Tamandua tetradactyla: one gene and its partners. The protein of the gene in region 2 interacts with the protein of the main gene of each other region in a pairwise test. Links are inferred from orthologs where the notes say so. Each region holds a gene or a part of one and is shown on either strand. Other genes may lie near its edges.

The links.
Region 1: the proteins of NUDT18 (region 2) and DHPS interact in binary tests that used the Homo sapiens proteins (3 or more experiments, as listed by UniProt). The two-hybrid records come from large-scale screens. The link is inferred for Tamandua tetradactyla from reciprocal best matches to the Homo sapiens genes NUDT18 and DHPS.
Region 3: the proteins of NUDT18 (region 2) and EVI5L interact in binary tests that used the Homo sapiens proteins (3 or more experiments, as listed by UniProt). The two-hybrid records come from large-scale screens. The link is inferred for Tamandua tetradactyla from reciprocal best matches to the Homo sapiens genes NUDT18 and EVI5L.
Region 4: the proteins of NUDT18 (region 2) and GLUL interact in a two-hybrid assay, tested with the Homo sapiens proteins (2 studies listed by BioGRID and IntAct). The two-hybrid records come from large-scale screens. The link is inferred for Tamandua tetradactyla from reciprocal best matches to the Homo sapiens genes NUDT18 and GLUL.

The regions. Positions count from the first base shown.
Region 1 is NC_135337.1:89,906,948-89,914,047, reverse strand, and holds the start of DHPS (deoxyhypusine synthase), read right to left. Parts: upstream 3,119-7,100; 5' UTR 2,745-3,118; coding exon 2,538-2,744; intron 2,376-2,537; exon of another isoform or gene 2,263-2,375; intron 2,150-2,262; coding exon 1,985-2,149; intron 1,744-1,984; coding exon 1,622-1,743; intron 1,526-1,621; coding exon 1,429-1,525; intron 1,346-1,428; coding exon 1,259-1,345; intron 729-1,258; coding exon 623-728; coding exon of another isoform or gene 604-622; intron 539-603; coding exon 435-538; intron 1-434. Other genes in the region: GNG14 (guanine nucleotide-binding protein G(I)/G(S)/G(O) subunit gamma-14), read left to right, coding at 6,197-6,232, 6,357-6,449, 6,551-6,676. UniProt on the Homo sapiens protein: Catalyzes the NAD-dependent oxidative cleavage of spermidine and the subsequent transfer of the butylamine moiety of spermidine to the epsilon-amino group of a critical lysine residue of the eIF-5A precursor protein to form the intermediate deoxyhypusine residue.
Region 2 is NC_135329.1:22,739,765-22,747,598, reverse strand, and holds NUDT18 (8-oxo-dGDP phosphatase NUDT18), read left to right. Parts: upstream 1-4,811; 5' UTR 4,812-4,846; coding exon 4,847-5,008; intron 5,009-5,826; coding exon 5,827-6,040; intron 6,041-6,273; coding exon 6,274-6,869; 3' UTR 6,870-7,250; downstream 7,251-7,834. UniProt on the Homo sapiens protein: Mediates the hydrolysis of oxidized nucleoside diphosphate derivatives. Hydrolyzes 8-oxo-7,8-dihydroguanine (8-oxo-Gua)-containing deoxyribo- and ribonucleoside diphosphates to the monophosphates. Hydrolyzes 8-oxo-dGDP and 8-oxo-GDP with the same efficiencies.
Region 3 is NC_135337.1:84,256,104-84,263,790, reverse strand, and holds the start of EVI5L (EVI5-like protein), read right to left. Parts: upstream 3,173-7,687; 5' UTR 3,005-3,172; intron 1-3,004. UniProt on the Homo sapiens protein: Functions as a GTPase-activating protein (GAP) with a broad specificity.
Region 4 is NC_135330.1:37,223,701-37,231,743, reverse strand, and holds the start of GLUL (glutamine synthetase), read left to right. Parts: upstream 1-4,817; 5' UTR 4,818-4,990; coding exon 4,991-5,013; intron 5,014-6,527; coding exon 6,528-6,706; intron 6,707-8,043. UniProt on the Homo sapiens protein: Glutamine synthetase that catalyzes the ATP-dependent conversion of glutamate and ammonia to glutamine.

The DNA of each region.
Region 1 (7,100 bases), on a different chromosome or scaffold from region 2:
AGATGCCTCCTCCCCCCACAAGCACAGAGCAGCCAGAGGGCACCTGTGAACACCTGCATCAGGTTACATCCCTGTTGTGCTTAGAGCCCTCCATGGCTCCCACCTTCCTCAGAGTAAAAGCCAAAATCCTATGCACGGTCCCAAGGCTCCACTCCACCTGCCCCATCACCCCCCCACGCTCTGGCCGTTTCCTATACCAGGAACAGCCCTCCTCCCACCCACTCGGGCACTCACAGGTCACACTTCCTAAAAGAGCCCCCCTCATGCACCCCTTTTTCTTGCCACCCTGTCACAGCACCCATGTGCTTCACGTGTCGCCTCCCTCCCCCACTAGTCTCCAGAGGCCAGGAGGCCTTCCCATCCAGTCCACACCTGTCTCCCCTCATGTGGGAGAAGGCCCACTTCATGGGCACAGCTCCCACACTGGCTCTCACCATGAGGTTGGCATTGGCAATGTGGTGCTTGACCAGGCCCCCGCCCAGGATGATCATCCCCGAGTGCTTGGCGAAGATGGCCTGGGTGTTGATGAGCCTCAGGTCTGGGGGTGTGAGGGGCTGTGTTCAGGCTTGGGGCCCAGCCGGCCCGCCTCCCCCTGACCCCTACCTGTAGCCCCAGCACACACCCTCCACGATGTCCAGGACCAGGCCCGGGTTCTTGTAAGAATGGAAGAAGATCATGTCGCCCAGCGAGCCATCCGTGAGCGCCGGGCTCAACACAGGGATGTGGTTCTGGGGGAGGGAGGGCAGGACAGGGCTTGGGGCCCGGAGCCTGGTGCGGGCAGCCTGGTGCCTCTCCCTGTTGCATCACTTCCTCCCTGCCTGACTGGGGGCAGAGGGCTTAACTTCTCTGGGCCTCAGGTTCCTCAAGAGCACTACAAGGGATAATAGTACCTCCCCTCCTACCCCCAAAGATGATGCCCATTTAACAAACCACCCAAAACACTTAGGACAGCGCCTAGCAACTAAAAGGCAGTAGCTTGTGTTAACTGACAGATGCCTAGACCTCCTGGCCTCTGTGGGGTGTGGACCCTCAGGCACCCATAGGGGCCTTGCTAAGCACTGTCCGGACTTAAGCTCCCAACTGCTCCCAGGCAGCCCAGGAGAACAGATCCGCTCAACAGCTGGGTGATGTCTAACAGAATTACTTAACTGCTCTGTGCCTAAGGCTCCTCACCTTGAAATGGGGGCAATGAGAATGAGGACACCATCCCCCTGTGGAGAGGAAGGAAGCTAACACGTGCCCCGAATCAGCCCCTCACCTTCTGGGCCCAGTAATACACCGACTCTGAGTTGTTGATCTCCTTGCCAAGCCGGGCAATCATCTTGGAAGGAGTCCACTTCACACCCTAGGAGGAGACAAGGATGAGCCCGCACTTCCTGTGGCTCCCACTGAGCCACCCTCCCCCCAGGGGGTGGGCCCTGGCCCCACCTCTGTGTTCTGCTCCAGCACCATCTGGTCCAGGATGGGCATCAGCCAGTCCTCAAATTTGCAATAATTGTCATTAGGCACCAGCAGGTTCCCAATCCTGGAGGCAGGAGGAGGTGGACATCAGGCCTCAGGGCCCTGGGGCCAGCCCCCTTGCCCAGCACCACCCAGGCCACCCAGCACCCCTCCCCCACACCTGTTGATCCCATTCTCCCGGAGCTCCTTCCCCCTGAGACTGAACTCCCCCAGGTACGTGGGTGCCAGGCACTTGATGAGATCCTCCTCCACACCCCCAGCTGTGGTCACCAGGACGTCCACCTGTGGCCAGAAGGTGGCAACGTTGGCCAGGGAAGGGGATCCCTGCCCTCAGCCTGCAGGTCTCCAAACCCCCACCTTCACCCCAAGACCCTTAGGGGCAGCGCTGCTGCAAAATCAACTGCATCCTGTCCCTCTGCTTAGGACCGACCCATCTCTCCATCATCTCACTAAAACGTTCGATGATCCTTTTGACCGCTGAGACTCAGAGGGCGTCTAGGCCCCAACCCTGCCAGGTTCCCACCATGTTATGCTGCACGAGGTAGCGGATGGACTCGCGGACGCCCGAGCTAATGAGGTTGGACGTGTAGCCCAGGAAAATGGTGCAGCCGGTGAGCGGGCGGCGGCTCCGGGTCAGGTCCGCATGATGGTCCTCGTCCTGCGACAGCGGCTCCAGCTTCTTTTCGATCTGGGTAGAGGGGCCCGATGGGCTTGAGCTCAACCCAAAGGCCCCGGGTAGGTCCCAGAGGCAGACCCCGCCCCCAAGGCCCTGCCCACTCAGGAATCGGGTACCACTTGTACCTGGTGCCAGGCCCCGCCTCCTTCCCCGCCCAGACCTCAGGGGAGGGCTCAGGAGTAGCCGCCTTTCTGGAGTCAGCATCTCCTTTGCAAGTCTAGCCCTCATAGAAACGCTCGCCCAGGACAGGCCCCGCCTCTCTCCGGCGATTGGACCGCCCCATCGGATGGCACGCCCCACCCAGCCCGCAGGAAGTCCCGCCCCCTAACCCAGGTACAGCACGGGTCCCCCGGCAGACCACGCTCCTCCCCGGGCCCGGAAGTCCCGCCTCAGGCCTCACCATGGCGTTGACTTGCTCCACCGCGCGTCCGAAGTTGGTGGCCTGGAAGCCGGTGGTGCCGAAGGCCTCCAGCAACGCGCGGTAGTCCACGCCGCGGTTGAAGTCGTAGCCCCGGACCTGGGCGCTCTCGGGCGGCAGCGCCGTGCTGTGCTTCAGCACGGCGGCCAGCGCCGCCGCGGGCGCCCCTCCTTCCAGGGGGCCCTCCATACTATGCGGCGGCGCTCCCAGGTCACGGCCGCCCCCCGGCGGGCCTCCGGCGGCGTTTAACGTGCCGGGTCCCACAACCGCTTGCTTCTATTGCCGGAGCGCAGGAAATGGGGCTCGGGAAGACCTCGGGGAGACGGACCGGAAGTAGCTCAGTCACATGATTCTCTGTGGCGCCCAGGGAGTGGCCATGTTTGCGCGGCTGTACGGAAGCGAGGAGTCTATTCCCTGGTTTGCACGTTCTCAGCTTCATATGATTAGAGTCCTACCTTTACTGCTGCCTGCTGGAAACCAGCGCGTTGTGCAATGCTTCCGCCATCCAATTCTGTCTTGGGGAGAGTACCACTTCTTAGGCGTGGCCCTTGGGCAGGATTTGGGTCCCCAGGCAGAGTCAGATACAGTTTCCTGCCTCTCATCCTCTCTAGTCACATGGCACTGATCTCTGCTCATGCCACCACGTGCTGCACAACCCTTTCCACCGGCAGCTGCAGCTGTCACCTCTGGAAAGCCTTTCCTGACTTTCCAGACTGGCCCAAAGATCTCTTCTGACAGCTCTTCCCCCTCTCTTCCCCTCACCCCCGCCCCAGGGAGACTGTAAGACTCCTGAAGGCGGGTCTGTGGCTCCTGCATCCCTCTATGCGCATCTGTGCCGGTGTGAAAGGAAGTATGCCCCCTAAGAAAAGCCATGTTTTAATCAAAATATCATTTCGTAAAGGTAGAATAATCTCTGTTCAATACTGTATGTTTGAAACTGTAATCAGATCATTTCCCTGGATGATGGGATTTAGTCAGGAGTGGTTGTTAAGCTGAATCTTGATTGGTTTATTGGAGTCATATAAGAGAGGAAATATTTTGGAGAATGAGAGATTCAGAGAGAGCAACACTACGAAGCAGAGAGTCCACCAGCCAGCGACCTTTGGAGATGGAGAAGGGAAACGCCTCCCGGGGAGCTTCATGAAACCGGAAGCCAGAAGAGAAAGCTAGCAGATGACTCCATGTTCGCCATGTGCCCTTCCACATGAGAGAGGAACCCTGACCGTGTTCACCATGTGCCTTTGCAGATGAGAAAGAAACCTTCAACTTCATCGGTCTTCTTGAACCAAGGTATCTTTCCCTGGATGCCTTTGATTGGACATCTCTATGGACTTGTTGTAATTGGGACATTGTCTTGGCCTTAGAACTGTAGATTAGCAACTCATTAAACTCCCCTTTTTAAAAGCCATTCTGCTTCTGGTATATTGCATTCCTGCAGCTAGCAAACTAGAACAGCATCTCTCTAATTGTGCGCAGGCCACCCCTTTATTGCTGGCTTAAGATATGTGGAGGCATACTACGCCTTGGGCTCTGTGCTAGGTGCTGTGGGTTTAGCAGTGAACAAGACTGACCTCTGCCCCCGAGGAGCCCACAGTCTGAAAATTAACAGTGTAAATGCTATTCAGGACTTAAACAGGGTGACGTAGGAGAGTAATTGGGGTGATTGGCGACTTCAGTTGGATGGACAGGTAGTTGGGAGGTTTTGAGCCAAAACCAGAAGGCCAAGAAAGACCCACCGCTATGTGAAGAAATCAGGGGAGGGCATTCACCCCCACCCCCAGCAGTGCAAAGGCCCTGAGGCTGGCAATGAGCCCACTTTATAGGACAGACAGAACATCCTTCTTAACACCCTACTTGGGTCTCAAATTCAATACATCCTTCCCCTCTTCACCTAAATCTGATCCTCCCACAATCTTCTGCATCTCAACCAATGTCCTCAACCTCCACTTCTCCACTTGGCCAGAAACTATGGAGTTGAACCTGAGGTCTTCCATTTTCTCAGACCCCACACCCTTCTATCAGCACACCCACTAAGTTCTACCTATCAAATAGGTCCCAGGTACACGCACTTTTCTTCATTCCCGTGGCTTCCACACTGGGCTCCCTCCCCTCCAATCTGTCTCCCAACAGCAGCCGGAGAGCCCTTCTTTAAACATAAATCACATGCAGCATTCCTCATTAAAACTCTCTAAGGGTGACTTCCCCTTGGGATAAAATCCAGCCACTTCTCCCTGGCCTCTAGGGGCACCGCTGACCTGCCCCAACACCCGTTAGCTTCTGCTTGCTCATTTCTCTGCAGCTACATCAGCCTCCATGTGCCCCTGGAACCCTCCAGCCTCTCTCCTGACCTGCAGCTCCTTTGGGTCTCAGCTCATTTATCACCTTCTTGGCCTGCTTTGGCCACTCCCCTTTGCCCTCCCCTTGCTTTTATACAAAAATGTCTGCATTATAACGTGTATTTTATTCACTGGTTGTCTGTCCCTCCCCTACTAGAATAGCAGTTCAGTGAGGACAGGATTTTGTCTCATTTCACCATTTCACCTCCTGCTTTTTGAGCAGTATTTGGAAAATACAAGGACCTCAGCAAGTGTGCCGAATGAATGAATGAATGAAATCAAGGGCATCAGGCTGGTAAGTGAAGAATGAGAGACAGAGAGGGTGGTGCGAAAATGAATTCAGAGACAGCAGGAGAGTCCAGCCTAGACAGGACCCCGCGTGCACTGGTGAATCTCATTCTAAGGGGCAGCAAAACGTTGGGAGAGTCTCAGCAAGATCGAGAGCCTGTGATGTATTTTTTAAGAGATTCCCACTGGCTGCCTTGAGGAGAGCCGAGGTGTGACCTGGAGAGGGCCGGCAGGGCTGAGTCAGCTGCCCGGGGCCAGGCAAGCGAAGGGGGACGCGACCACAGGGTGGGCGGAAGTGACCAATGCAGAATCCAACTTGAAGGCTCCCCTGATGGCACTTGAGAAAGGATTTGGTGTGGGGATAACAGGAAGGAAGGGCAGAAAAGGATTTGGAGATTTGGCCCTGAGCAGTCGAGTGGAGGGTACTGCACTTCAACTCAGGGGAGGGGGGACATAAGATTTGGGCAGACAGATAACAGAGTCTAGCTTTGATTGAATTAAAGGATGTACCAAGGAAGGAGGTGGGACCTCAGGTCTGTAATTCAGGGAACGGCTGGGAAAGGGACTGAGGAAGTCCGCTCTCTGGGTGTATGGAGTCATTTGTACCCAGGCGGTGGGTGTAGACAGAAAGGAAAGGCAGGGCTGCCCTGCTGCAATCCCGCACACAGGGGATGGCAGAGCCTGGCCAAGGAGACGTGTTGGGGAAAGGATAGCAAGGGGTCAAGCAGACCATGGAGTGGCCAACCCACCCCACCCCTGCATTCCGCCTGCCAAGCCATTCAGCCTGCAGGGCTCCCATCCCCCAGGGATCTAGATGACACGTGACACCAGGGCCACCGCAGGGGCCTCCTGGGGCAGGGACCCCCTTGGCCCAAGCAGCAGCTGAGGCTGGTGACATTTCACTGCATGGTGAGGGAGCCTCCTGGCTTCAAAGCCTTGGCGGGGGGTGACGAGGAGGGGCTGGGAGAGGGGAGGCCAGGTGGGGGTGAGAGGCAGCCAGAACCCAGCTGGCGGTGGATGGGGCGGCCAGGATCGGCTGAGTCCTCAGCAGAGGTACAGTGGCCTTGGGGGGAGGTCAGGGAGCCGCTCCCCTGCAGTCCCCAGGGGCCTGAGGGCAGTACAGGGTCTGGGGCTCTGGGGCCAGGCCCCCGCCCACCCCCAGCTCGCCTTTCCCCAGATGTCCAGCAAGGTGGCCCTTGGCAGTGACATCGGGCAGGCCCGCCGGGCCGTGGAGCAGCTACGCATGGAGGTGGGCCTGGAGCGCGTGAAGGTGAGGGCCTGGCCCAGCGGGGTGGCTTGGGGCGCCCCGGGGGTGCAGGGCTCAGCTGAGCACCGGGGCGGGGCTGACGGGATGTGGGGGGGCGACCCCAGGTGTCCAAGGCGGCCGCCGACCTGCTGCAGTTCTGCACGGAGCAGGCCAAGAGCGACCCCTTCCTCGTGGGCATCCCGGCTGCCACCAACCCCTTTAAGGAGAAGAAGCCCTGTGCCATCCTGTGACCCAATAAACATGAAGTGACCGCTGCCCGGGGTGTGGCTGGGCCTGGGGAGGTGGGCGTGCAGGTGGCAGCATCCTTGTGGCAGAGGGTCGCAGGCCGCAGGGGGGCACTGGTCCCACTCCCTCCCTCGCCTCCCCACCCCCACAGGGCAGCGCCAGCGGGCTCCCTGCGCCAACACACATCACCCACGCAGAGTTGCAGCCCTAAAAACAGGTGCCTATGTCCTCAGGCCCTCCAGTCCCTGACCACACACTCAGGCCCACAGACAAGCCACACACGCACACACACACACAGCAGTCATTGTAATGGAAACACGCCAGGACCACACACACACATACACACACACACACACACACACACAGCAGTCATTGTAATGGAAACACGCCAGGACCACACACACACACACACACACACACACATACTCA
Region 2 (7,834 bases):
TGGGGTGGTGCCATCCTGCTCATGCTCCCCCCTCCCTCCTCATTCTTTCCATTAAAGTCTGTTGTTCTGTGAATGTTGCCAGTGCACGCTGCTTATGCAGGCCACATGGTTTGGGAGGGAGGGGAGCTACGGAGATCTGCTCTGGAGCAAGAACAAGTAGAATGGGGCCGGTGGGCAACCACAGGGGTTAACAGGGACCTCAAAACCTTCTGCTCTTCTTCCCGGGGCCTGGGCCCGTGGCACCCACTGAGGACAAGATGAAGCCTTCTGACCAAAGATGGCTTTTGATAGCAACAGCAGGCAAAGCCGAGCCCTGGAGTTCAGCAGCGAGGTGGCCTTCACGTGCAGCATCGACCTGCAGAGATCCTGGAGCCACAATGCTCCTGCCAAGACCAGGTCTATGTCTGGTCTGACTTGGAGATTGTGGCCTGGGAGAGCCCTTGCCCAGCCCTTCTGCCCTTGGTGCCATGGCCCCAGGCCCAGCCACCCCGGGACTGAGCCTCACAGCTCAGACAGCTGACTGCCTGGCCCCCTCTGCCCACGCCCTGTGACCCCTCTGGTGTTACTCTTCCCCTCACCCCTTCCCTTGAGATCGCAAAATGCTCCAACTGTTGTTATACCTAATTGTTTCTGTGGTGGTTCAGGGAATTTTTTTTATTATTAAATAAAATTTTTTTATTACAAGTGTAATATACTTTCAGAAGATTTAGAAAATAAGAAAAAGTCACCTGGAAGCCTATCTCCAGCATGCTCAGCCTGATCACTATCAGCATTTTGGTATAGTTCCTTCTGGTATTTTCCCCAAGGGTCTATTTCACATGTGGTTGAATTGGTGTTTTGTAGTTGATTTACTTATCTTAATATAATTATTTTTTATGTTGTTACCTAAGCGTCATGTTAAGTGGCTGCTTACAGTCGATTGAGGCTTTGCCACGATTTATCAAGCCCTCTTTCTTCCTGAAATTTAGGTTTCTTCATTGTTTGGTAAATTAGGTTAATTCCATTTTTTCGTGGGATTAAAAAGAAAGAAAGAAAAATAGAGGACTCCTACACTTATAGTAGGCACCACACCAGTATTTTGACATAAATATGATCTCATTTAATCCTTCATCAATATTTTAAGGTAGACATTATTTATTTCTGTTTTAAAGAAGAAACAGGCAGGCTGGGGTTAAGTAAACTACCCCAGGACATTCAGCAATTTTAGTGGCAGAACTGGGATTTGGACCAAATCTTCTGACTCATGCCACCTCGTTTACATGATCGTCTCAGCTCTTAATGCAGTTTAAAGATGAGCTTGCCCTCTTCTCTGTCCTTCCAACATTACGTACTTTCTATCTGATCATCTTCCAAGTAGCACTGAATGACCCATTCCTACTTAGATTTCACCTTATTTGGCTGTGTCCTGATGTTACCCCAGAACCCAAGACACGAGGTCCTTCCTATGGGAGGATGGTCTCTTAATTTTTCCCATTTGGGATGGGGACCACCGAGTCCCTGGGCCTCTCTCTTCACATGGAGCACCCCATCCCCCCCCCAATCCTTCATGGGGGGGGTCACAGCACCATTAAAGGCATAATTGGTCTGACGTGTTGGAATCAGCAGATGGATCAATGTTCATTTATTCCAGAGATGGACCTGGGAATGAAGCCAGCCCAGGTGGGGAGTGACCCAGTGCCTCAGGTTGTGGGCAGGGGGTGGCACTGACCCCCATGGAGGCCTGGCCGGCTCAATCCCAGCCCAGACTGCCCTTTGAGCCTCTTGCTTCTCACAGGCCTCTCCTCACTGTCCACCGTCTGCTTCCAGGCCTCCTCATTGACCCAAATATTTAAGAAGCAGAACCCTCAGGGCTGGCGGGGAGCTCATAGGATGTACCTCCGATGCCTTCTTTTCCTTTTTCTTATAAAGTAAGGTTTTGGAGACTTATTTTGAAATAATTTTAGATTTACAGAAGGATTGCAAAGATGGCATAAAGTTCCCATTTACCCTTCACCCAGTTTCCTCTAAGTTAACACCTTACCTAGCCACGAGACACCGATAGATTGATTATTAAGGAAGCAAAAGACTTTCTTGGGATTTCACCAGTTTTCCCACTTACGTCCTTTCTTTATGACAGGATCCAATAGTACCTTGTTTTTACAGTTGGCCTAAGGGGAAGATCTGACCCTACCCCTGAGGGGCCAACCTAGCGGCAGGGCCCATCTGGAAGCCCGACGCCCTCCACAGAAGGGCCTGGAGCTTGCACCGTTGTCCTCCTCAGCCTTCACGTGGGCTTTCAGGGCAAAAAGCCTTACTCTTGGGTAGGCGGCTCTGACCTTGCCCCGCCCCTTCCGGTCCCTGAGGGTGCCAGTCACGGGCCTTTGCGCATGCGTGCTCCTACGCACGTGCCTGTGCGCATGCCTCGAAACGTCTAGCTCGGGCTGGGAATCTTGGGCGCTGGGAACCCTGCACCGTCCCTGCGGCCACCCACCCCAGCCAGTTTTCATCCCTCATGGGCAAAGAGGACACAGAGAAAACGTTGATGAAAGCCTTTTTCTTTTGTGGGGTTTTGTAGTTTTGTGGGGCCATCTTTACCAGTTGGGTCTCTTCACGAATCGAGCTGCATCCCTCGGCCTCCGGGTTTTTCTATCCCAGCCCCCCTCCCTCAGCATTTCTCTTTCTCTGCTCAGTGTCTCCCATGTTACCCAGTCTGACTGTGTTCTCTCGTCCTCCCAATGCCTTGAGAAAAGTCCATTTCATTGTTGTTTCCCTCTGAGGGCTGGGTACCGACTACCCCCAAACCCCACCCATCCCATGCAGCCCTTCACGGCTCACGAGGGGCTTCGCATTCCTTTGCCTCACGTGAGGCCCTCTGGAGAGAAGCGGAATGCTTTTCCTCTTCGGCATTGATGCGGGGAGTGGAGCCGCCTTGGCACTTCCAGGCGGTTAGGCCGTCTGTTGTTTATCTCAGGCTGCTTGTCAGGCTTCAGATCCTTGCCCAGACGTGACCTCACTCTCACTCAAATCATCCCTGGGAGGCAGGAAGGAGTCTGGGAACAACGCTGTCCCTACTTCACAGATGGGAAAACTGAGGGTCACACACGGGCAGCAGATTTGTTGACAGGTCACTCTGTAGTCTTGGGGTCCCGACTCCACCCTGTACAGTCAGGTGTCTGGGAGGTGAGGTGGTGTTGGGTATGGCTGGGGCGGCAGCATTCACCAGCTGGCCTGGGGCAACACAGCACCCGGTCTCCTGGGAACCCGCAGTCAGTGCAGGATGTGAGAAGGGCCTGTGGAGACTGAGAAGCTGGGGTTGCAGTTTCTGAGAGTCAAGTCTAGTCCTATAGTGGCCCTGTCGGCACATTCATGAGGGTAGGTCCTACTTTGGCCGCAGGAGGGCCCTGCCTGGAGGCTTCGTGGGCAGTCTGGTGATGGTGCATTGCTCTGCCTGAATGGACGGTCCACAAAGCTCCTCTCCACATCTCACCGTACCCTCCCCACAACCCTGTGAAGGAAAGGGTGCTCTACAGATGAGGAAAAGGAGACCTATAACCTGCCTGAGGACGCAGAGCAAGCCAGCAAGCAGTGGCCGGGCCTTATGGCTTCAAGGCCAGTACTTGGTCCTCTCCATCACAGCCAATCTCACCAAAAAACAAGAGGTGCACAAAGCCAGCACGAGGGGAAAGAGAAAAGGGGGGCCCCTACTCGGGGCGAGGCACATAGAGTTTGCTTGCTTCCCAGTTTCATTCCAGCTGGCCCTGACTTCCTGTCCTGAGAGGAGGTTAAAGGAAGTTCTGCAGAGGAGAGGTCAGGCTGGGAGAGAAGCAGGAACTCGCCCAAAACAGCCCACACCCTGCTCTCACTGTGCCAGCCTGTGCGTGCTCCATGGGAGGGCAGCAAAAACAGAGCAAGACACCCCTTTGCCCTGGCAGGGCCCACAGTCTACAGGGGAGAGGGGCCTGGAACCACCTGGAAATACACGGTGGGCAGAGGGCGGGGTAACATAACGGCTCGGCTGGCAGATTGAAGATCTTCTCTGAGTCTGTCCCTGAAATCCCCTCCTTCCCTCCTCAGCCCTGCCCCACCTTGTCCGTCCCAGTGGTGCCCCCTCCCTCCTCCGAGCTCCTGTCACACCTCATACCCACATCACTCACTTAGCCCTTGGCGTACACCCCTGGGGTGACTTTTCCTACGTATATGTCCATCTTGCCAACTAAGTGGGAATCTCCTCTACAGCGGGGGCTTACGGTTCCCCCTGCTATGTTAAATCCCATACAGTTTAGTGAAGAAAGAAGAAAGAAATCTAAGAAGTGATCTTCTGGGGCAAAGCCATCGCATGTTTAAGGCGATCTGGACAGTCCAAACCGCGGGCCTCCGTGACGTCATCGGGCTTGTGACGCCACCGTCGCCGGCCGCGGTGGCGTCTCGCTGCCCCGCAGGCAGGATGACGACGCCGTCAGAACCCCGCAGACCAGCGCGCGCTAGCCGAACCAGCGAGGTCGGGGGCGGGAGACGTCCGAAAAGACAGAGCAGGGCGGGTGGGACAGCAGCGGCGGCGGGGCAGGGGTCTGCCCGGGTCCCCGCAGGGGTGCCGCGTCCCCTTCCAGGCTGGCCCCGCCCCCGTGCCCGCCGCGGGCCAACCTATGTAGGCGGGCCGTGGTGACGCGCAGCCTCTCCGCCGCGAGCGCTCGCCCGGCTCTTCCGCGTCCGCGAGCGCGCGCGGACTGAATCGTCAGGGGAAGACGGAGACGGACCCCCGCCCACCTTCCCCTCGCTCGCCCCCTCGTCCCCCCCCCCCCCCCCCGACCTCTCCGCCCCGACTCAGCCCGCTCTGCAGACTGCGGGCCCGCCGCCCGCAGGGGCCTCGATGGCCTCGGAAGGCCTGGCGGGGGCGCTGGCGGCGGTGCTGGGGGGCCGGGGGCTGCGCGTGCAGGGCTGGGACTCGGTGCCCGCCGAGGAGCCGCCGGCGCCGGTGCGGCTGCGGAAGAACGTCTGCTACGTGGTACTGGCGGTGTTCCTCAACGAGCAGGTGAGCGTCCCAGCGGGGCCCGGGGCCGCCAGCCCGCCGCCCCGGCCTCGGAAACGCCAGTGGCCTCACCCACCGCTTGCTTGTGCGGGGCGCTTTCCAGTAATTTAGCAAAGCACTTTCACTCACACTTGCCCCTGAGCCTGGTGGCGGTCCAGCCCTGCAATTATCCCTATATGCAGAGAAGGAAACTGAGGCCCAGGAGCTTCGTAGAACTTGCTCCTGGCGTGTCAAGCCCTTGAGCAGAGGGCTGTCTTATTCCTTCTTTGCCAGGAGGTTGGCACAGTGTCCGGTGGATTCTCGGCCCTCTTAAAGGTCTGTGGAGTGCTTGAGAGAGCTCCCCTGCATCCTCCGGATGGGAATGGCGGAGCCCACGCTCGCACTCAGACGTCTGACCTCCTTGTCCAGTGCTCTTTTGGGTGCTGATGCCTGTACACGTTCCTCTAATAACAGCTAGTAAGGGACAGGGCCATGGTTGGGCTGGGTTGCGGCTGGACACGAGCATTTGGTAAACCATCTGGGGAGGCGACAGATTCACAGTGACACGTCCACAGACATGGTAACCTCACCCTGGGGTCTAATCCCCGGCCCCTGGAAGCAGCCCCCAGGAATCTCAGCCCCTTCCTGAAATGGAAGTCTCTGAATCCAAAGAGGGCCCAACTGCAGACAAGAAACAGCCTCACACACAGCCCTGTCCCCTGGAGAGCTCAGCAACTTGAGGGTATCCCTCAGGGCTGACTGTTGCTGTCATATGGAGAGGAAGGGCCTCTGCTTGTGCTGTGCTCTATGGTGGGAGGTGAGGATCCTCTGTGTCCCCTCAGGATGAGGTGCTCCTGATCCAGGAGGCCAAGAGAGAATGCCGCGGGTCGTGGTACCTACCCGCGGGGAGAATGGAGCCAGGGGAGACCATCGTGGAGGCGCTCCAACGGGAGGTGAAGGAGGAGGCCGGGCTGCAGTGTGAGCCTCTGACCCTGTTGGCTGTGGAGGAACGGGGCCTCTCCTGGATCCGCTTTGCATTCCTGGCTCAGGCCACAGGTATGTCCCACCCAATGGCAGTGGGAGCAGGAAACGATTGACACCCCTACTCCCACCCCATCTCATGCCTGCTTGTCCTTTGGTGAGATGAGCCTCTCCACAGCCTGGCATGGCCCAGATTCCACCCTGAGAATTTCGGTCTCCTCCCTGGGTATCCATTTTATTCTGCCAGATCTGGCACTTCTTTCAGCACAGACCCTTTCCTCCCCTCTGCCCTCCAAATCTCCCCTTAGGTGGAATTCTTAAGACTTCAAAGGAGGCAGACGCGGAGTCCCTGCAGGCTGGCTGGTATCCACGGACCTCCCTGCCCACTCCACTGCGAGCCCATGACATTTTGCACCTGGTAGAGCTAGCTGCCCAGTATGGCCAGCGAGCCAGTCACCCTCTTATTCTGCCTCAAGAGCTTCCCTGCAGTCTGGTTTGCCAGCGGCTCGTGGCCACCTTTACCAGTGTCCAAGCTGTGTGGGTGCTGGTGGGTACAGTGGGGATGCCTCACTTGCCCATCACTGCCTGTGGCTTCACCCCAGTGGAGCAGAGGGGTGGCATCAAGATGGCCATCCTGCGGCTGCTACAGGAATGTCTGACTCTGCACCACTTAGCAGTGGAGACCAAGGGGTTGCTAGGACTGCAGCATCTAGGCAAAGACCATACAGATGGCATTTGCCTAAATGTGCTGGTGACAGTGGCTTTTCGGAACCCAGGTATCCAAAATGAGCCCCCAAAGGTTCGGGGTGAGAAATTCTTTTGGTGGAAGGTGATGGAGGAAGACCTACAAAGTCAGCTCTTACAGAGGCTTCAGGAATCATCTGTTGTCCCAGTCAACAGATAGGAAGGTGCCAGAAGCGGGCAAGAAGCTGGACATCTGTGTTTCCACGATGGTTTCGCCATTCCTCTGCCAAGAGGCAAGAAGTTGGAAATCTGTGATCCTCTTGCACTGGGGTTCTCCTGGTTCTCAGAGGGATTCCCATCTCTCTTGACAGAAAGGACAGTGCCTTCAACCAACCAAGGAGTCAAAGGCCCAACTGCCCTGAAGCTCCTTGTCAGGGAGGTGGGGACTTTCTGACCCTGCCCTGGCACACAGTCTTCATTTTCTGTGCCCACCTAGAAAAGGCCTGCATCTGAATCCTTTCAGGCACTTAGAGCATGGAAGGGAAACTGGGGGAGGTCCTCCGAGTGAGGGTCCCTTGCTGAGTAAACGGGTGTCGCTTACCTCCCCTTTGCTGCCTAAATGTCTCCGTGGGAAGGAAATGAGCAGGAAGGTGGGATGGTTGTCAGAAGAGAAGCTGCTTCCCTTGTTCCACTGACAGCCACCAGGCCTTTCCCTGACAGCATGCCGAGGCTCCAAGGTCAGGTGGGTGGGTGGCTGGACAGACCGGCTCACGAGGAGGCCTGAGGTCTGAGTGTGGGGGGTGCCCTTCTGTCACCTGGTAGGAAGGGATGTGACTGGGGTGGTGAGAGGGAACAACATCCCTTATTAACCAACTCTAACCCTCTCACTGCTTGAACCCTGAGAACTTCCTGGAGAAATTTCAGATGGGAGACAAGCTATAAAGTCTGCCCCTGCTTCTTTACTTGTGCATTTTTCTCCTTGAACTTCTTGGGCTCAGATTCCTTCCCTGTCATTTGCCAGCCCCCAGGCTTGTGCCTCTGCCTTTTTACAACTTCAGCCCAAGCCAGACCAAAACCCTTTCTTCATCTTCCACCGGCCCTACTGAATCATAGTTGGATTTCTTTTTTTCTTTTAAAAGAACTTGACTAAAATTTAAGGGAGAACCAATGGAAAGTAACAAAGAA
Region 3 (7,687 bases), on a different chromosome or scaffold from region 2:
GATGCTTCCAGCATAGCAGACAGCAGGATGTGAAAGTAAAGGCCTGTGCTGTAACAAGCCTCTGGGTTGTTCTGAAGACTAAATGAGATAATACAAAAATGGCACAGCATTGAGCACGTGGTATGGGTCCGATCAACGAGGCTATGGTTTCAACTCCTGCTTCATAGTATTGAGAGAGTCTTTAGAGGCAGGGTGGGGACCACATTTTATATCCCTTGTACACCAGCACATGACTCAATTCCTGGTCCATGGTGGGCATCCTTTGGGGACAATCAGCATGAATATTCTGCGTGAGGAAAATAAAGCACACTTGCTTCCCTATCCCCCATGCGCCTACTAAAGCACACACTCAAACACACGGACCTGTAGCCCTAGTTGAGGGTAAAACCGTGTTATCATTCATAAGTCCTCTCAGAGAGCCTTCTTTGGTTTCCCCAAAAAGTTCATAGCTCTATCTTGCGGAACCTTCCTACTTTGCTTTGTCCACACAAAGTCCTACCTGGGGAGGCTGTGGCATTTATCTTTTCTGTACCATGTGACCTTCAGGAGTCTTTTCATCCACTCCTTCGGATGAGGCAAAGAACACACCTCTCCCTACCCAGCATCAGAGGTGTGGGGGCGTCAGCACCACCTGCAAGCAGTGCCACACCCCTGTGCCCCTCACTCCCCTGGAGGTCCCTGCGTGGCCACAAATCCCACAAAAAGCCATCTCTTATCCTCCTCCTACCAATCCCAATTCCAGCCAGCTTCCTGTAATGCAGCTCAGCCAGGGAAAAAGGGCCACTGACCAGTGAGGTATCATCCAATTACAACCAGGGGGCCAGGGTAGCCAGTATTTCTGCTCCCACTGACAGGGGACTGTCCTCCCAGATCCCACTGTCCCCTCCCACACAGTGCCTAGACAGCATTCAGCCCTCCCAGGGGCCCCTGCGGTACAAAGTACTATGCTACAGATCTATCTCCCCATTTGCCAGATGGGGAAGTTGAGGTACTGAGCCAAGATGAGCTTTGACCCAGGGCCACTCAGACTCCATTGCTGAATATTTACTACGAAGCCCAGGCTTGTGATGACTTTTTGGGGCTTTGCAGGTGTGACCATATCACTAGAAGGACCTCAGACACATGGGTGTCAGGCCATGCAGGGGCCGGACTGAGCTGATTCCACATGGTGGGACCTGGGGGCTTCTCATCCCTGCAGTTCCAGCCACACCATCTCACCCATTCTGCAGTCTCTCCTCTCTGTCTCACCACCATCCCTGACCCGGGGCCAAGCCACCTGCGATTCCTTCCAAACCACCCCCAGTCAACCACAGGAGCCCACGGGGAATCGGCAGGCTGGGCGGGAACATCAGCACAACCCGGAAAGACACATGGAGACGGGTCCTCTATCTCCATCGCAGCCTGGCTGAGAGTAAAATGAAACAGTCTGCTCACTCATGTGCCTCCTGAGCCTCTTCGGCACATTTTTTTTTCCCCTTCTGAAAATATTCCTTAACAAAGAGATGCCTGCTCCGGGCAGGCCCAAACCCAGCTCCACAGGGTCCCAAAGGCCAGGATAGCAGGAAGCCATTTCATTTTGGCAAAGCATGTCCATAGTGGATGAAAAAAACCCACTGGGCCATGAGGAGCTAGTCCCTTGAGCAGCCTGGATGGTGGTGCTGGCTGCATCTGAGGCCAGCAGGTGCAATGGGGTCAGGATGCTGGTCCTACCAGTCTGGTCAGACTTTAGGACGGGGGCATGGGCAGCCTGAGCCCCTCCCTGCTTGTCCCTCCCCCCAACAGTGGGTGGCATAAATTAGGGGGCAGGCAGTAGTGCCTTTCAGGACACTTTGATGTAGGAGAGGGAGTGAGTGTCCTTCCCTTTGAAGAAGGGCAAAGCAGTCAGACTTTAAAGGATAAAGAAGCCTGGGGCAGGAGCCCACAGGGGCGCTAAGAGCTGTTGGGTCCCTGCCACCCTCAGGGGCCCCAATGTGGGGCCCGGCTCAGGGAGATTGGTGTGGCTGGACAGGCTGGCTGCCTAAGGTGGGACCTGTTGGCTCCTAAAGGGCCTGGGCAGGTGGGGTCCAAGTTGGTTTGTGGGAGTGCTGAGAAGTCCTGGGTGTGGGTGTCTGTGTATAGGGGAGATAGGTGGGGTGTGTGTCAGAGGTCCCAAATTTATCTGTGTGCGTTGGGGACCTGGGAGCTCCTGGCTTCTATGTGTTGGGAGGGGGGGGTCGGCATAACTGCCAGCACGAGTTGTTGGGGCTCATGGGTGAGAACTGGAGGCTCCCAGATGTGCTTGTGTATGTGTCTGGGATTTGCAGAAAGACGTGCGTCTGGGGGTGGGGAGGGGGTATCCCGATGTCTGGGCATGAGGAGAGGGGTGGTTTTCAGTAAGACCGGATCAAGACGGGCCAGGATCCAGGGGTGTCCTGGGAGGACCCAAGGAATGATTCTGAGGGGCGCCCTTGGGCACAGGGTGTCTGGGGTGGAAGCTGGGCCAGCAGGCTGAAGGGAGACCTGTGGGCGGGCGTCCTGATGGGAGGAGGCCTTTGGGGTCAGAGGGGAGGGGCCCGTGGGATCAGAGGGGAGGGGGCAGGCCCTGGGGCTGGCCTTCCCGGGGGTGGGGGCAGGTCTGGGCTAGGAGACTGGAGGGTAAAGCGAGGGGAGGGTCAGGCGGCAAGAATCCCGCAGACCGGAGGGGTCCTGGGCCTGGGGGGGTCCCTCGTGGGAGGAGGTGGGTCTGCGGGGTAGGGGTCGGGGTCTCCGAAGGGTCCTAGGAGGGATCCTGAGGGTAGGTGGAAAGGGTGGGCGGGGGTCATGGGCCTGATGGGGCCTCACGCGGAGAGGACCCCTGGTGGTGGTGAGGTGTCCCGAGGGACGCGAGCGAGGGTGGGCGGTGGTCCAGGTCCGGGGCTGGGAATGCCCGGGGCTCCCCGCGCGGGTTCCCGAGCGGCCCGGAGTCGCGGTCTGGCCCAACCCCCGCGGGCCGCAGCGCCCGGAGGCCCGGCCCGCGCCACACTACCTGCGCCGAGCGCGCCGCCATCGCCGTGCCGAGCCTCGTCGTCCCGGGCCGCGCCGCCGGACCCCTGCTGCACCGCTCGTCCCGCAGCCCCGGCCCGGCCCCCTCAGCCTCCCCCCGGGACCGCGGCCGCAGCCGGCTCCGCCGCTGCCATTTCACCCGCTGACAGGAGCCGCTGCCCCGCCCCCGAGGCCCGGCCAGCCAATTCACCACCCCCGAGCGTGAGGCTCCGCCCACCGTCCGGGAGTGACGGCGTACCTAGCCAATCGGTGGCCACTCCGTGAGGCGGGACTGGCTAAGGTCAGAAGATTGCCGCCTCTTGGAAGAGAAGCGAATTGAAATTAGGGAAGCCGTGAGCGACAGGCTGATTCACCTATCAGAAAGAGAACCCTGTTGATCAACACCCGATGGGACCAATAGCAAGGAAAGAGGTGTGTCGCTGCGGAAAGGCTGCGGGCCTGAGGAACACCAGCCAGAGACAGCCAAGCGTTTGGCACTAAGCTCCACCCAGAGCCATGCTTTCTGCCAATGACGAGACGTCCTGAGATGTCCATTATTATCTGCTCGGCCATGGCAACTGTTGGGGCGCGATAAAGATTGACACCTAAGGAGCCAATGACTATGAAGGAGGGAGTTGCAGTGACACCCTCTGACCAATGATATCGTGAAGTTCTTGTGAAGTTGGCCTCCTGAGCAAGGAGCTTGACTCCGGGCTTGAATGGAATGGAGGAGGGGCTGAGGAAGGGGCGGGGCCTAGGCCACTGATGGGGCGTGGTCAGGCCTGGGCGGGGCTACCTGCCCGAGTCCGAGAAGGGGCGTTGCCGAGAAATACCTAGGGCAGAAAGGGAGGTGATGGGACCGCATCCTTTCAGAGTCCAGCACTGTGCCGGGGGCGGGGTGGTTGGGGTGTGTGTGGGGGGTCACCCTGAAAACGGGGACCCGTCCTGTGCCCTTGTCTAGCCCGGGTTACGTGTCTTCTCTGTGGCTCACAACGCTTTGTGTTAACGCTGAGATCTCTGAACTGTCACCGTTTGCACCGCCATCTCACCCGCACCTTCCCCAGACCTGCAGCTCCTCGGGGACGTGGGTGTACAGGGCTTACGTCAGATCTCCCGGGGTCCCCAGCATTGCCTAGCAGGGGCCCGGCACGTGGTAACTGCTTATAAATGTTTGATGAATGAAATAAATCAATGAATGGTGGGCTCAAGGCTTTCAACACGGAAGTGAAGGCCGGGGGTCCTCAGGCTGGCGAAGAACATACGGAGACAGTTACTGCCGGTGGGCAAAACTCTGCAGAGACGTGGCCCAAGATTCAGGGACGGGCCCAGGAGGGGATGGGGCAGGGAAGGACTCCGCCAGGCAGGAGACGGTAGCATAGCAGTGATCAGGTTCGGGCTGCAAATAGGAAGACAGATACGGAAGGAAGTCTGGGACCCAGCATGTCAGGTCTGAGATCAATATAGTAAGAGGTTTTGGTCTAGGTGCAATGCCTGACATCCACCCAAATTCCCTGTCCTTGTCTATCTCTCTCTACCCCTGTCTACACTTTTCTCTGGCCCCGTCTACACTCTGCTCCTTTCTACACCCTGCCTGTCTACTCTGCTCTTGTCGACACTATCTCTTTCCCTATCTACACTGCTGTTATCTACACTCTACCTGCCCCTGTCGACAATCTGCCATTATCTACAACCGCTCGTGTCCTTGTCTACCCACTCTGCTCCTGTCTACACACTTCCTATCTCCTGTCTACCCACTCCCTGATTCTGTGTCACTCTCTACATTCTCTCTGCCTCGATGTTTCCCCTCTCTCCCTCCCTCTCCCTTTCTATACCGTATTTGTTAAAATGCCAGAACATTGGATTAAGAAAACCCCAAACTCTGAAAACTTGGGTGATAAAGATAAATAAAATGCATTCCTTCCCCTCCCCATACCACACTTTTTTTTTTTCCGAAACACGTCTTCACCTCCCTCCCTTTAAAGCCATGTTATGTGCCAGGCATATTATAGTCCTGACAAAGTCACAAAGCGACGTTGACTTTGCAGAGGGTGAAACTGAAGTGACGCTCATTGACTGCCCTTGTCCCCTGATTCACAGAGCTTGAGCTGCCCTGGGAGGGACCATGGACTCTGTGGATGTAGTTAGTGATGGGATGCAGGGTGTTAAGTGAGAAGGGCAGGGTGCAGTGGAGGCCAAACAAGGGGTGATTCCTGAGTCTGGCTGCCCAAGGTCCCTCAGCTTGGGGGACTAAAGAGCCATCGCAAAGATCCAAAGTCTAGGGGGTTGCCCCACTATGCACGTGATCACAGAAGAGAACAATCTCTGAGCCACAGCTTTTCAGCAACGAAACCCCCAGGCTTCTGGTCCTTCAACAGTAGTCAGGACCTGGGAGATAGAGAAGCCTGGGGAGGCTCAGAGCTGGATGGGTTCTGGAGTGCAGCTGGACGGGGTCTTGAGTGCAGCTAGAAAGCAATCAGGACCAGTTTCAGAGGACTTGCTAGGGAGATAAGCAGCCACTGGTATCTGGGGAATAAAATCAGATGCAAAGAGTTGCACTGGATGTTAGGACTCTCTCATTCTCACACTACCATTTTGACACAAAGGATGATTTTATTCTGGGAACACTTTGATTCCATTTTTATGAGCACAAGTGGAAAAAGTCCAATAAATTCCTGTTGGAAAAGGCTTTTAAATCATAAACTGCATTTAAATAGTTGTATTCCTGGATCATTTTTGTATTCATTATAGTTAAACCATTTCCAAATGTTTCAAATTTCATTTTTGTTTGAACTTTTTTTAAAATCAGGAACACTTCTTTCCCATGTGATTTTTTACAGTGAACATTTGCATCGTTAATCAGATCGCTTTATTCAATTTTCGCCAACTATAGATTCTACCATAGTGATTTTTTTTGATATGGCTGTCATTTCTTCTAAGCCAAATTTTGCATATTTAAATTTATCTAAAAGACTCTTCTGTTAGTGCCTAGCTGATCACATTTTTCCACAATCAAAACCATTTTTTTCTGGACCAAACTTTGGGCTCAAACTCTTTTGTTAGGAATGCTGATCAATGTGGACTCAGAGCTCGTAATTTTGTCGCATAGGTAACCAAGAAGACTACAAAATTCGTAGCGTCTTACATTGAGAGGTGTAGTTTCCCCTCACTGCTTGAATCTGGACTGGCCTGTGACTTGTTCTGACCAACAGAACGTATCAGAAATGCTGTGCTCATTCTGAGATTGGGCCAAAGAAGCCTTGAAGCTTCTGTTCTTGCTTCTCTCATCATCGTGTGAACAAGCCCGAGCTAGCCTGGATGATGCACAAGGCTCAGCCGCCTTTGTGGTCTCCACCACCAGCCAAACAACCTTCAACCATGAATGAGGTCATCTGTTGAAGTTTCCTATTGCTATGTAGCAAACCTTCCCTAAAGTAGCAACCCTCTTCAGTATGTTTATGAATTCTGTGGATCAGGAATTTGGACAGGGCACAGTAGGGATGCTTGTCTCTGCTCCATGAGGTCCAGAACTCAGCTGGGAGGAGTTGCATGGCCGTACATGCCTAAAGGGTCTGGGGCTAGGGGGAGTTATCTGGGAGCTGCTTCATTCATATGTTTGGTTGCTGAACTGGGATGACTTAAATGGCTCGGGTCTCACTGGGGATCTCTCTTGGGAACCCTCCATTTGATCTCCTTACATGACATTTCCACCCTGGCAGCCACAGGTAGTCAGACTTCTGATATAACATCTCAAGACTTTGGCAGTAAGTCTTTCATCAAATAAATTAGAAGCTGCATGGACCTTTATGATCTAGCCTTGGAGTCATATGACACTGCTTCTGCTCTATGCTATTGATTGAAGCTGTCCAACCCTGACCAGATTCAAGGGGAGGGAAGTAGACCTCATAACTTGATGGGAATATTGTCAAGTATTTTCAGTTATGTTTTAAAACTCCTACATTATCTAAGGGTACCAGACTCAGCCAATCTATCAGGTGACCACAAATGCGTAAAAGAGCCCAAATGACCTTCCCAGCTGAGACTAACCTAAATCCTTGAACCACAGAACTGTAATCTAAACAAAAATTTTTAAGCCATTAATTTTTAGGACACTTTGTTATGCAGCCAATAGCTAACTGATACATCTTCACATGTGTACAGCATTCACAAAGCCTAATATGGACTTGCCATTTCCTGGAGCCCTACAAGGTAATGCAACTTAGCAGACCCAAGGCCTCTGGAGTCCCTTGAACCCTCCTGCATTCACCCCACAGTCCACTACCCCTGGCTTTACCTGCCATGACAATTCTGCCCATTCCTAGTGCTCCTTGAAGAGTCTCAACAACCCATGACTAGAGCCCCTGAACATAATAAAAGTATTGAATTGAAACAATCCCCAGTTATCCCACTCTCAGACCACACAAACTGATCTGTCCCATTTTACAAATATATATACTCTATAGAATATCTTTGCAACCTTTTTTCTTGCTGTGGTCTTGTGTATATATCTTTTTTTTTTTAATTGTGAAAAATAGCATATATACAAAACAACAATAAATTTCAAAGCATACTGGAACAATTAGTTATAGAACAGATTTCAGAGTTTGGTATGGGTTACAGTTCCACAATTTTAGGTTTTCCCTTCTAGCTGTTCCAAGACACTGGAGACTAAAAGAAATATCAATGTAAT
Region 4 (8,043 bases), on a different chromosome or scaffold from region 2:
GTGTTGGATATTGAATTGAGGTATAACCTCAATTGCTTATACCTGGTCTTTTTTTGTCTTATGTTCACGGTAGTGAAATCTGGAAGCTTAGGCCACCTGCAGCTTCTCCCCAAAATATGGTTTAGGAATAATGACATCAACTTCTAGATATATTTGTTTTGCTTTTTTTTTTCTTTTCCCATCTTTTGTTTTATTTTTGTTTTACTTTGCCTAAAGATTATGCTGTGACTCTTCCTTTGAGAAAGAACTGGTGATGGGATTACTAAAAAGCAAAACAGAAAAGTTCACAATTCTGGGTTGGGTCTCCACAGAGTTCCTCAACCCTGAGTCTCAGCCATTGTCTCTTTAGCCCTCCTGTACAGTCTCACTAGACAGGTGTTGTAATCGTTCAAATACAGGGAGACCCGCTATAAACTATTTGAGTTTCATCCCAAATCTTGTCTCTAATGAAGAAATGAGAGCAAGGCCTTGGGAAGGTGCCTTCAGATCACTAGCCCCAGGGCTTCAGACCTGTACAGTGAGAATAGGTCCTGTGAATAAGAGAGATTGAGAGGAGAAATCACAGGCAATGCCCTTCCAAAAAAAGGCCTTTATTTCAGGCAGCAGAGGAACACCAAGAAATCATTTTAATCCCTAGTCATTTCTACAGATTCGGAACAAAGTCTACTCTCACTGCTGCTCTCCCACTCCACCCACCCCTGGACCAAAGCTACTCTGAGAGAGAGCCATGACTTCTGAGCCCAGGCAATAGAACCCCTTGTCAGCTTTCATGCTGTGTACCAAGAGAGAAAAGTTTAAGGGTGCAAGCATGCTGATGCGCTGTTTATGGGGGCAGCGAGAAATGGGGGTGGTAGCAATTTAGGGAACAAGGAGACTGGGAACAAAGGGCAGCAGACACAGCGAAATCAAACCAAATGAAACAGCCTGCTCCACTTGCAACTTCTCTGAATGTACAGTCTGGGTTTCTGGGGGCAATTAGTTAAAGGACTTTCTTCTGCTTTTTCTTCTCTCGTCTACGCTTCAGCTTCTCTGGGACTCCTCTGGGCCCTAGTTCGGCTGGTTTAAGTAAGTGTGGGGTTGACCAAGGAGGACAAGGCCTCTTGTTCACTCCTGAAAGAGTGAGTGGCCACATATTATGTTCCTAAGCCTCACAAAGCATGCCCCTGGTCACATGAATGGATCAAAGCAAATCCACTTCCATTCCAGGAAAAGCAGCTCAAAGCACATGTTCTCTTGATGGTGCCGCTGTCATTGTGTGAGGTCAACAAACATCATTTATTGAACACTCACTTTGGATACCGGCAAGGGATATGAAGATGAATAAACTGCTCAAGGAGGTTATGACACCTAACAAGGGAAGCAGGCACTTGCCCAGCAAAATAAACCAGAAGCTGTATTTGCTTCTAGTAGTCCATTTTCTATCACTGCCATCTCCTAATGGAGGGAGGGGCTGTGGTGATGGATGCAGTAGAAAGCACTGGTTTATATCTCTGGTAGTTTTGGCATTTGGAAATTAACATCTTTTAAAATAAGAACATCACCTCTTCTTACTCCACACCCATCCCCACCCCCACCCCCGGCCATTTAAATTCAAGGCTTTACAGAAAGAAATGGAATTAAGACAGCTTACTCTGTTCCCAGGTAAAGCATTACACTGAGTCAGAAAGTTGTTTTGGTTGGGTATCAATTGAATGGTCGCTACAGGCAAAGAAATAATCCAGTCTCATCAGATCATCCCGGGCCTGTCACTGCTGTAACTAGGGTGGACTAAACATTTACTGTTTTCCAAGTACTATCCTAAACACTTTTGCATCTGTTATCACAATTAATCCTCACACTATCCCTATTAAATTTTTGTTATTCTATTTTATAGGCAAGGTAACTGAGATTTAAGGAGGTTAAGTAACTCGGCTGATACAAAGCTGTTAAAGAGATAAAGCCCTGATTTGAACCTACGTTTGTCTGACCCTAAACCCTGTCTTTAACAATGGCACTATAATGCTACAATGTGCAATACTGAAATTTAACATGGAATCCCTTACATTTGTAAGGTTCTATACCCAATCCAGGATGTCACCAGTCTGAAACACACCAAACGCCCCCGCTGGACGTGAATGCTACATTTGTCATTTAAAAGCACTACAGTACTCAGATGCACTCTTAAAGGAAAGGGATGTTGACCAAAGAACCCAGGTTATGTTTATGGTCACCAGCAACGTTTCTTTTCCATGTTTGTGGTACAAAAAACAACCAGAAGAACAAACTTCTTCCTTTCGTGTCCCAAAACCACTGAAAGCATAAATTCTCGGTCTCAAAGACCAAGACTCAAAGCCTGAGAAAAATCTGTCTCAAATGTTAGCACTTCTGGAAAAGCAATAAATTCACACCTCCAGGTGAATTGGGGGCAATAAAAATAGATTAACTGAGTAATAGTAACTGGTAGAATGCAAACATAAAATATTATTTTTTGTAGTTTGCCATGATCGTGCATCTTTGGCAAGCATTTTCACCATTGAGTTTACACATACATTCTCTCAACCATCACAGAGAGGCTGAGGAGAGAGGGGGTACGTATTCCAATTTACGGATTAAAAAGAAGGAACAATAAGTCACCTGAAAGGCAAAAGAAAAGAAAAATTGTTTAAGGAATGCTAGAATGCTATTTTTTTTTTTTTTTTTACAAACTCTGAGCTTCGAAGGGGTAATTGGAAGATCTCCGTTTCCTCTCAGTGCACTTGGGATCAGCTTGCACATAGAATTTCAAATCTGGTGGGTGGTTCTAAAAGGTCATCCTCTGAACAGTTTTATTTTGCAGATAAGCAAACTTGGGCCCAGAGTGGCTGGGTGACTTGCCTGACAAAGACGGTATCAGACAGGTCTCCTGACTTTGTTTCCACCGCCCGCCAAAATCCACTCCATGGAACGATGATTAAAACTGTGCAGTAACAATTGTGTTCTCTTTCCAAAATTTCCTGAGACAACCGGGGAGGGGGGCTGTCCTAGGGTTATGAACCCCGGCTCACCTTCAGGAGCCCCCTCTCTTTGCTGCCCTCTTCCAGGCCCCTGCTGCACCCGCCGTCGCCCAGGAAAGCCCAGGGCTTCCCGGCACCCGCACCCCGCGCTCCCTCTCTAGCGTAACGCGAGCGCGCCCCGAAGTAGGGGCGGGAAGGCTCTCTAACAATAAAGGCCAAAATTATTGTTCAGTGGCTCAGAATTTCCAACCGCAACTCTGGGGCCCGCGGTATGACATCGTAAAGGAGGACTCTCCTTGCAATGCAATCGGAAGGCAGCAGGGGCTGGCGGTTTTCTGGGAACCTTCTGCCTCGGGGGGAGGGGGCTGCAAGGGCCGCCCCGGGTCATGCCGCGGTTGTTTTGCTCGAGCCGACTACAGGCGGGGTCCTTTCTCGGCAGGAACTCGCGCCCTCTGCACGCCAGCAGCCAGCCCTTCTTTTCCTTCCCTCCGCCCCCTCCCCCACGCCCCTTTCTCTTTCTTTCTTTCCCGGGCTCGCTCCCCCCACCCCCGCGGCGCCTGCACGCCTCGTCGCCCAATGGCCACCGGGCTCGGGCGCACATCAGCTGATCTGTCCGCGCTCCCGGCCGCTCGAAGCCAATCAGGGCGCCGGGGGCGGCTCCCGGCCGCAGATAAAGGGTGCCGGGCCCGAGGGGACCCGGAAGAGCCGAGAATGAGAGAAGGGTTCAGCGTGTGACCTGCACACCCGGCCTCCTCTCACTTCGCTCTCGCGGCCTTCCCTCCCTCTGCCCTGCCTGCTGCACAGGTAAGGTTCCCGGACAGCACAGAAGGGACGCGCGCGGGCCCCGCCGCCTGCCCCTCGGTGGCACTAGGGGCCCTTCGTGCGGGTTTGGCTCCTTCTCACCTCCTGTCCTCACTTGTGCGCTGTGACCTCCTGGGCTCAGGAGGTCAAAGACGCCCGGGCCTCCCGCGTGGCTCCGCCGTCGGCGATTCCCGGAGGGTCTGGGTTGGCGTTTTGGGGGCGCGCCTTTCTCGAGGTGTTTTGAGAAGGGGAGGAGGTTGTTCTGATCTTCCTTCCGCTGCTCGCGGCCCAGAGGGACGCCCAGGAGACCTTTCAGCGGGCGGGACCGTTGAGCCGCCGGCCCTGGGCGCGGTGGTGGGGTTTGGGCTGTCGGTGGAGCCGCCGTGTTCCCGCTGCAGGAACGCACGCGGGGGCGCTGGGCAGGCGCGGGGTCCACCCTCTCTTCTCGGCGGTGGCAGCTGTTGGGGGGGTGGGGTCCTCGTGGTATTATCTTTTTGACGCCCGAGCGACGAAGCTCGTTTAACCAGGAGTGTAGTGTTTGCGCGACCGGCTCCTACCACCGAGTCCCGGGGGGAGTTCTGGACCTTCCACTTGTGACCGAACAATGAGGAGCCCGGGGCCGCGGCTAGAGGCGAGTCCCCGCGGAGGTGGCAGCCGCACGCCGCCCCTCCCGCCGACGTGCCCCGCACCCCCTCCCCTCCGTCCCCAGCCTCTGCCCCCGGAGGGGAATGGCCCCCTCGGTGAGTCCCTGAGACCAGGACCGGGGCCGGAGGGGCGGGGGCCCGACGTTTGGAACACTTCGGGGGGAAAGGACTGCACTCAAAGTGGATTCCAGCTTCGCCGGGGGCGGGAAGCGGGGACGCCCCCCCAGCCGCAAAGCCGAGAAGAAGTATGATGCGGAAGACACAGAATCGCGGTCCTCGGGGTCCCCCAGCAACTGCTTCGGTTTCGTCGCCTATTCGGTGAACCCGGGAGAGAAATCGCGAGTCAAGATTAAGACCCTGACCCACCAGCCCGCGTATCCCAGCACCACCCGGTCAGAGCATTCTCCGTGCCCTGCCCCGTCCCCTTCCCCGTGTCCAACCCCATCCCCCTGTCCATCCCCGTCCCCAACGCCCAGAAAGCTCCGGTGCTTGGACCAGCGAGAGTCCGAGAACGAAGAGAGGCGTGAACCCAAGTCAAAAAAGAGGACTCATAACGAGGGCCACCCCATCGATATGGTTAACCTCCTATGGCCGGGGTGAGTGAGGGGCAGGGAGGAGGACTCCCCAGCTGGTGGCAGCTGCAGAAAGAGCTCAAAGATTTAAAATTTAAGCTCTGCGGCAGCACCAGTTGCTATTGTACAGCAGGCTGCTGGCAACCTACCCGGCTCATGGGAGAGAGAACAAGACACTTCACCCGGACTGGAGAGAAGCATGGCTTGATGTTGGAGGTGTATCAAGTTAGGAGGAAAGCTAAAAGACTGAGTTCTCACTTGTAGTTGGAGCTGAAGGGATCAGAGATTCTGGTCTTTCGGGGGCGGGGGGGGGGGGGGGTTGGTTGGGGGCGTGGAGGGTGGCATTTGACCTACCAAATCTCCTGCAATAGGCAGAAGTATTGGTTTTCCTCCTATAAGACTTGCCGGAGGAGGTTCTCCTCTAACGCACAGGGAAGGGTGAGGCTGTTGGAAGGAGAAGCAGTTATGTTTTCAGCTGGGCAAACATGGATGGTTGCCCGCAGAAACTTTGCCACTGTACTTTAGAAAGTTGCTCAAGTCATTGGAGGAGAACAATGTGTTCCTTTGCAGCCACCCTGGGGTTTGGAGCAGGGGTGGGGTGGAGTGTGGAGAACATTTCCTCTAACCATCCAGGCCGGTTCTGTGGCTTTGGGTTCTCTTCTTTCCGAGGTCTGGTGGTGGCGGCTTGCAGTTTTTAGCATGCATCAGACCTTTCCAAATCCCAGATCATGTTGGTTTAAGAAGCGAGAATTCCCTTATTATTTAAAGTTGGCCAGTGAAATCTGAGAATATTGTGATTCTCACTTTCTGAATTAAGTTAGACTTTGCATTAGACCAGTGGAAATTATGGCAGTGTTCCCCTTAGAATATGCCTTGGATCAGCTCTTCTATCTTGGTGATATTGGTAACTGCAGTCTTGCTTTTAAGAAGCCTCCAGCCTTTTAAATCTTTCTAGTGAAGGCCCTTGTTTAACCCTCAAATCTAAATGCATGTTGTTGAGGGGGATGGGGAATCGCCAAAAAGGGGTTGTTATAAAAACTGCAACTTAGGTGAAGGAACACTCACTGGACATGATAGCAGCCAAGCTTTTCTGTGGCTAGATATTATTTGTGTTGATTGTATCTGTTTTCTAAATTTTCTCGAGTAGAACTTCTGTAGTATCTTAGCATAAAATGTTTTAAAACAATTCCCCTACCTGTGCTGAGGGGAGTAGAGCTTAATCTCTCAAGCCCCAAGGATGCTGAGAGGCCTCAAGGCTTATTGCCAAGGGCTTTTCTCTTGCAAAGTTGATCGGATTTTTACAGCCTAATACTATCAGGAGATTTTTGACTAATATAAAAACGTTGATCCTCTTGAAACCAGAGTGAATAAATACACCTTTGGGTGTAGGATTTCCAGTGGAAGGGGCTGCCCCCACCCCACTCTTCTCAAAGGGAGCATCTGCCTTGGATTTAAATTTCCCTCTTGAGCCATCCCTGCAGGGGGTTCAGTTTGGAGTCCAAAGATTGGTTTCCAGATGTTCTTCTTTTTCTCTCCAGAACACCTTCCACCATGGCCACCTCAGCAAGTTCCCACTTGAACAAAGGCATCAAGCAGTTCTACCTGGGGCTGCCTCAGGGCGAGAAGGTCCAAGCCATGTATATCTGGATCGATGGCACTGGGGAAGGACTGCGCTGTAAGACGCGCACCCTGGACAGTGAGCCTAAGTGCATAGAAGGTGAGAACTGGGCTGGGCTGGGTGGGCGCAGTACGGGGGGTAGGCTTTAGACCAAACTACTCAATGGGACCTCTTTATTTTTGTGTTTGTAAAGATTTTCTAAGATGGGCCTTTTCAGGCCTCATTCAATCAACATTTATTAACCTCCTACACTGCCTCAAAACATAGCAATACTCGAACCCTTTATTTAAGTGGAATCTCGCATGTAGCCCAATATATTGAAGAAAAATAAAGGCTCAGGTTTGAGCCTGAGCTTTGCCAACTTGGCTGTCCCTTAGGTGGCACCCCAAGGAGCCCAGTTGGACGACCATTGCTTTAACCTGAATACGCCATCTAGTTTACAAACTGTTGAATGCTTCGTTTCGTATTCATGTTGTACAAAGCATATACCCTAAAGTGGTTTGTGAATAGGACTAATCATTCATTTGTTTTCAGTTAGTACCGCTTTTGGAAATTCTTAAATCATCTGATTTGCTTATTCCACCTCACTAGGTGCTGCTTTATTAGAGTTGTAACCTTCAGTTTTTCTCCTAAAGGAAGCCATAGCCCTGCCCCTTCTAGACAAAATCCAGAGAGAACAAAAGAAAATATCACCTCCCGCCTATATTAGGATAGCGTATTCTTCTGATAATGTTCACATGGGAGTGAATGAGTGAATGAACTACCATAACATAAAGTATACATTATGTGCCTGCTACATGGCAGCTGCTGGACTAGGCACTGGGAAGGCAGAGTTCTGGGTCTGTCTTCAGAAAGCTCATTGTTGGCTGAAGGGACCCAAAAAACGGCCTTTAAAACAGTGGGAAAAGTGCATCTGAACAGATGGTCTTTCCTGTGGTAGGGTGGATACGGAAGCAATCCTTGAGTAAGTTAATAAGGACGAGAGTTGAGCTGAGACAGTCCATAAAGACCAGTGGGGGAACAATGGCTGGTGAACTAGTGGGACGATCAGAAAATTTTGTCTTCCCCTGTCTCAGTATTTTAAATGACTGACTTCACTAGTGACATCAGATTTCAGTGTGTCTCCTTGGTGTGCTGTAGGCTTATTTAGGGAAGAGACATTCTTTTGACTGTAATTTCCTTGAAGGAAGTGATGCAGTCATCTTACTGTCCTTGAAGGAAGTGATGCAGTCATCTTACTGGAAGTTTAGTAAGGAAGGACTGCAGAGCTAGGTGCATGCATCAGGTTTACATTCTGAGAGTGGCATACATGCATTGCTAATTTGGGGGGAAAGAGAATAGATATTTAGAGATGAAGAGGTGAGTGAGGTCTCTGTATCCTTGCCTGAAAAGCTCCTGTGCATTTTTAACTTCATCTCCTCTTAACCTCTTTTTAC